Yarrowia lipolytica: one gene and its partner. The protein of the gene in region 2 interacts with the protein of the main gene of each other region in a biochemical or structural test. Links are inferred from orthologs where the notes say so. Each region holds a gene or a part of one and is shown on either strand. Other genes may lie near its edges.

Evidence for each region.
Region 1: the proteins of YALI1_B03335g (region 2) and YALI1_E00963g form a complex in vitro, tested with the Saccharomyces cerevisiae proteins (3 studies listed by BioGRID). The link is inferred for Yarrowia lipolytica from reciprocal best matches to the Saccharomyces cerevisiae genes VTI1 and SNC2.

Annotation. Positions count from the first base shown.
Region 1 is NC_090774.1:95,118-97,983, forward strand, and holds YALI1_E00963g (uncharacterized protein), read left to right. Parts: upstream 1-1,246; coding exon 1,247-1,336; intron 1,337-1,781; coding exon 1,782-2,030; downstream 2,031-2,866. UniProt on the Saccharomyces cerevisiae protein: SNC1 and SNC2 are vesicle-targeting proteins essential for normal secretory traffic between the Golgi and the plasma membrane. They may also be involved in vesicle fusion.
Region 2 is NC_090771.1:332,177-335,334, reverse strand, and holds YALI1_B03335g (uncharacterized protein), read right to left. Parts: upstream 1,766-3,158; coding exon 1,666-1,765; intron 1,222-1,665; coding exon 1,163-1,221; intron 1,012-1,162; coding exon 511-1,011; downstream 1-510. Other genes in the region: YALI1_B03324g (uncharacterized protein), read right to left, coding at 2,268-2,661, 2,713-2,870. UniProt on the Saccharomyces cerevisiae protein: t-SNARE found in various SNARE complexes involved in multiple transport pathways. The composition of the t-SNARE complexes is specific for a limited number of v-SNAREs and therefore allows only the vesicles carrying the matching v-SNARE to fuse.

The DNA of each region.
Region 1 (2,866 bases), on a different chromosome or scaffold from region 2:
TCACGTTTTTAGTTGACTGTTTACTTGCATCTCGATTTCATACTTGGGAGTCGATGCTCTGGTTGTAAGGGTAGCTGTGTTATGCACTGTGGGTACGTATCTATACCGTGCGCTGTGGACATATGGAACTTGAACACTCCATAGAGCTCTTATCAGAGCCCCTGCTTTGCACTAAAAGTCCGTAGTACTTTCTATCTTCACATCCATTTTTTCCATCCAATCATACTTGTCATTCGTCTGGCATCTCTATGGCTTGGCAAAAGTATCCAAGCACCATATTGGCTACCGGCGGCTACCCTTAAAAAAGGCGCCGAAAGCTCAAGATCCGCCTCCACTCTCATAGACACAGTCTTGGGCAGCGGCATGAGGCTGGGTTTCAATGAATACGTTGCCACTGTCCTCAAACTATCAAACTATCGGCACAATAGGCTGAGTGACTGCATGTGTTATGGTGTTGTGCTGATAACCAGAAGCGGATGTGGACAAATTATTTAAACAAGAGTCCGTGGCAGTACAAGTACGAACGAGTATCGTAGTACTGGGCCCGTTCTATTGGGATTTTGTAGGGTGGAGTGTACCGCTTACTACAATTGTAGCTATTGCAAGCTTAACCAGCACCCGCAAATGTTCATCGCCCCGATTGGCATCGTTTGTACAGTAAATAGCTGGCGGTGTACTCTGCCACACATGGTACAGCCCATACATGAGGTATGTACAGCCATGTACGAGTGCAGAAAATGTGCCGAAGTTGTTGGAAATTACACACTGTGGCGGTTCCACTTAAATCTACGCTACTTGTAGGTATATAGCTAATGATATACCTCATTCCTATCCTCATTCCTCTACAGTAAAACATTATCTCCCCCTTCATTCTCCCAAGTAGTGCGAATCACCTCAACTCCTCTGGTTGTAACTCCGTGTTATGATTTTGGGACTTGCACAGAGAAGACGTACGTGTTGAAATAATGACGTAGAAGGGAAAGTGTGGTAGAGAAAGGAGATACAGCCAGGGACGAGAGAACGGAAACCTGCAAAAAAAAAACACCCGGACCCGTAGCTCCACTGTTGCCACTTACACAGCCCTGACATATCCTTGTAACACACTTTTCAACCCGTCACGTGCAAATTCAAATGCCGCTAGCTAAAAATAACCTTGTTGTGTGAAACCTCACAAAAATACCCAGTCCTGCAGTTGGCTACATTATTCTCAACTCCTCACAGTCGTCACACATCCCCGACTTCCGACATGTCCTCTTCTGTCCCATACGACCCCTACATTCCCGGTGGCGAGTCCAACGCCCCCGGCGGTAACCACAAGACCGCCGCCATCCAGGCAGTGAGTATGAATTCGTGGCACTTTCACGAGAATTAAGGAGACATAACGTCAGACACAAAAACGAGATACCAGCAGCTCAGAGGATGGTAAAGGCACGGTGGCCAGTTGGAGGCATCAGAAGAGTCGGTTGTTTGTTGCGTGACCAGTTTGTGCAATCAGGTGATCGTTTGTCTATATGGCTCACCGTCTGATTATGACGGATGCCTGCCCAACTGTATCACACACTGTCACGACTTCCACAACAAGCACGACTACACACTCAACAGAGCTGAAGGTTTCACTTGTGAGACGCCAGCTGTTGAGCGGCGTTCTTGGACCGTTTCACCGTTAAGATCTCTTTATCATCGTGTCATGTGACTGGTATCACCATGAGTTATCGACCGCATTTCCCTGGCCGTGTTTCTTAATATCCCCGAAACACCACATCTGACAAATTCTAACCCAGCAAATCGATGATACCGTGGGTATCATGCGAGAGAACATCAACAAAGTCGCCGAGCGAGGTGAGCGACTAGACTCTCTGCAGGACAAGACCGATAACCTGGCAGTCTCTGCACAGGGTTTCCGACGAGGCGCCAACCGAGTGCGGAAGCAAATGTGGTGGAAGGACTTCAAGATGAAGATCTGTCTCATCATTGGTGTTATCATTCTGATTGTCGTCATTGTTGTCCCTATCGCCATCCATTTCTCATAATTTATTAGACCCCCCTTATGGTCTTGGTCTTAATGCCTATGTAATGAATCTGTACTTTTCTTTGGCCAGATGTTTGTGAAATACTTGCACAAGCATCCATCTTACTGACTGGTCCTGTAGCTTTGAAAACATCTTCGTTGGTATAAACGGAGGTGTTGTCTACGAACCATCAGGTAAGAGCTTCATTGGCTACAGCATATACTGTGGTTGTAGATATCCGCATTACACACAGTATATACTGTACTTGTACCTGTGTTCCTGGTGTGAAGTACGAGCTACTACAAGTAGTAACTACAGTAACAATGTATCCGACATGGCAATACTTTGTACATACTCATGCGGACCATATTGTGTTTTAGTATCAACACATCTCTCCATGCAAGATACAGTCACGTCTGTGGTCAGGAATGTGTCTAGAGTGACGATAATTATGTATGAGAGGCGTGCGAGAAACTCCTAATGGTAGTTCTAATAATAAATGCAATCGTATTATCGATTACCAGAAACTTGGTATCTACAAAATTATTCCACGGATCTGGGGAACTGGAGAGAGTTAGTATGGACCGAGAGAGTGGTGATATTCAGGAATACCCGACCCAAGACTGAGGAAGGATAAGACTTTACGACAATTTAAGATAAGGATGGCATGGAAAGTAGCTACCGGAAGGACATGACTACTGTATGGTAATTAGCACACAGTGCCCCACGGAGGTTTGATATCTGTGCTGATTAGTGAGACAGCTTTAGCAGAGGTGAGTAAGGTACAGCAGGCAACGACCTAGCTGAGCCGTTAATGTAAATCATTATCGGTTCTCAGGCGAATCCTACAAGGGAAT
Region 2 (3,158 bases):
TCATAAGTCATTGGACCTCTTATTCCCCCTTAGTCAACTTTCCAATCTCCTAACAATGGTCCTTAGCTTGGTTTTAGACCGCTCCATGCTGTTCATTAGGTCCTATTTCAAATACACATTAATTTAGACCAAGACGGAATAGCGCAAGTGTCAATACTAGAGCAAATATTCATTAGACGACAAAGTCGCGAACAACTGCCAAGTCTCGAACGTGTTATCTGCAGTACTGTAGCCAACTTCTTACTGTTGCTGCAAGGTCTAGAGCAAGAGCATGTATGGAACCACCATTCTCGAAAGATTTAGAAGCCAGCAACTGTACAAGTATCAGGGTTACTCAGAGTGAGTGTCAATGAAGCGAGACTGGCGTTTGCTTGACTCTACGTCTTGGAAGAGCTACCAGTATCCGTTCTTCTCCACTTCCTACCCGCCATAGAACGCACTACCATCACCAACTTGCATTGGATACACCCTTTCATTAATAATTATAGTCAACATTACGTCATTTACCGTCTACCAAAACTTGCTGGCTAGAACCAGCAGAATGAGAATCACCAACACAGCAATGATCAGGTAGGTCAACACCTTGTTCATAGCCATCCTACGGGTCATGGACCGCAGAGTCCGAATACTCTTGTCCACGTAGCCATCTGCCTCCAGCAATGTGTTTCTCGAGTTTTGAATCTGTTCCCGCTGGCCCCGCAGGTCGGTCAGAATGTTGGCTCCAATGGACTCAGTTTCGTTGGCCACTCGTTGCGAGTCTCTGATTCGCTGCGAGCTTCGGTCGAGGGACTCCTGGCCAGACAGAAGCTGCTGTCGCTGGTCGAGAGCAATGTCGCCGTCGCCGGCCGCCGATCTGTCTCCAAAGAGCTCATTTCGAGCGCCAGCCTGCTCCACGTTGGCAAGCTGCTTCTTAGCAGACTGGATTGACTGTCGATACTGTCGCAGGTTGGCAGACAAAGGTGCTCGCGCAGACGAGGGGATGTTTTGGATTTCAACCGAGAGTTGGTCAAGCTGAGTTAGTAGGGATGAGGAGATTGTTGGGCGTCGTGTCTGTAGTCCAGCCGGATCATTAAGACTGTTAAATAGACCGGTCCAAAAAACCAGATCCATTTTTAACCAGTATGTCGTTTGTATCGACCAAATATCCCCCTTCGATACTCACAATTTCGTAGGCCTCGCCAATGGTTCGCTCAACGGCCTTGACGGCAGATGTTCGGGCGTCTGTGTTAGTACTGGAAATTGACAAGTTAAGACCCGTGTAGACATGAGAACGGACCGTATCACTGGAGTAACAGAAAGCAATTACTTGTGTCCCCCATGAACTTCTTCAGGAGTGGTTGAAGTTCAATCGAGCGCCTGCAGGAAAAAGTTGATGGTGACAGGACCATGATTCACTGTCTGGTATTTCACAGTCGTGAATAACAGAATACCCGAATTCCAAAGGGCTATAGCCGTTCAATCAGCGTTTCTTGTCACCAATAGTGAAAGATGCACCGCTGGGCAGCATCTGTCGACGACTGCCAAACAGCAATCTCGTGGTAGAATACGTCACCTGCCAGATATCAGCAGTCGAAAACATTGCGAATGCCACTTGTTCATGTCATTCCTTGTCGATCAAATACCACGTCATTGTCGAGGTTGCGCCCTTGGCTCGCCCATACTCACCTCGCTCGAGCGTCGAAATGCTCTCGAGCTTCTGCTCAATCTCGGATTGCGCCAGCAGAAAGTCCGTCTCGTAGCTCTTGTATAGTTCGCTCGCTTCCATGATGTCGTGGCGGGGGCTAGAATACAGTATGCGTGATAGTGGATAGTGCGTGATAGCGGTGTGCGGGGCTAGGGCTCAGTTCGATTCCTACGCGGGCTGATTTTCAGGATTTTTGAGGGTGATAATAAGAAGGCCGAGAGCCATAAGATGCGCTCCATAGCGGGTCCCACGGTGTATGAAACTCCATTTTCTCAATTTGGACAATTTGAGTGCAGTTTCGCCAATATATATTTAGTTGAATTCACCTAAGTAATTAAACAACTTTACTTACACCATTAGTTAACCGAACATGGTCACCATGGACTAACGGCTGAGCGAAATCTACGATGAGGAGAAATGTACAGCACATACAGGAGAGCTCACAGTACCAAGACAGACATTATAAAGCAAAGAGAGTTCATTTGTTCAATTTTTTTTTTCTTTTCGATCTGCTTTGGACCTGCATGACAGTTCCAGATCTCTTTTCATCCAGCCAATCATCATGCCCAGTATATGCAGTCTTCTACAACATTTCATAGCGGTATCTGAAGGCCCACAACTGTCTTAAGGGGTCACGAGACCTTGTGCGCGTGACCAAAATCCCGCTGGACGACAGACACACTTGAAGCAACAAGGCAGAAAACCGTTTAGCCGCTTCGTTTGCCCTATACTCGACAGACGCAGGTAGTCGGAGTGGATTCGGAGATTCCGGTTGGACACAAAAGAAACGCAGCCGGGACTCGCTCCTTGGCACATAGACATGGCAGCCGCTTTGAGAGTTGCGGGATTTGCTCAGTGAGCTCTGCGCGCTCTTTTTCCGGCCATCTATGCCTCCAGGAAGCGCGCCGACACCTGCAGACGCCGGAAACTGGAGTTGTACGCGCGACAAGGACAAAAGCCGTTTGGTTTTCGTGGAGCTATGTATACGGGCTGCAAATGCGACGGGAACGCAGGGTCAAGTTGGGTACGAGAAGGGGTCGCTTATGGACCCCCTATACGGTGGTTCCTTGTATGTGAGAAGGCGCCACAACCGTGCATGTCCGGTCAGGTACGAGTACGAACTGTACGAGAAAGGCAAGTAGACTGACAATTGTGCATCTGTATCCGCCGCGAGAAGAATGGCCATAAGAGATCGAGCGCTTTTGATTGATTCTTTGTGACCAAACCGCTTTTGTTCAGGGCATTCGAAAATAGTTTATAGTGCTGTTAGAGTCAACTAGAAGGTCAAGTATAGATCAAGTACAAGTTCAGTTCAAACACAAGTGTCGTACAAATGTCGCAATCACTCAATCACCCACCCTAGCTCATAACCTGTCGACACATCCCCCAACGTACTGCGTACTGTACATACAGTACTGTGCACAACCACATCCAGATGCGCCTACTACCGACCTGTGGGTGACCCCACATGTAA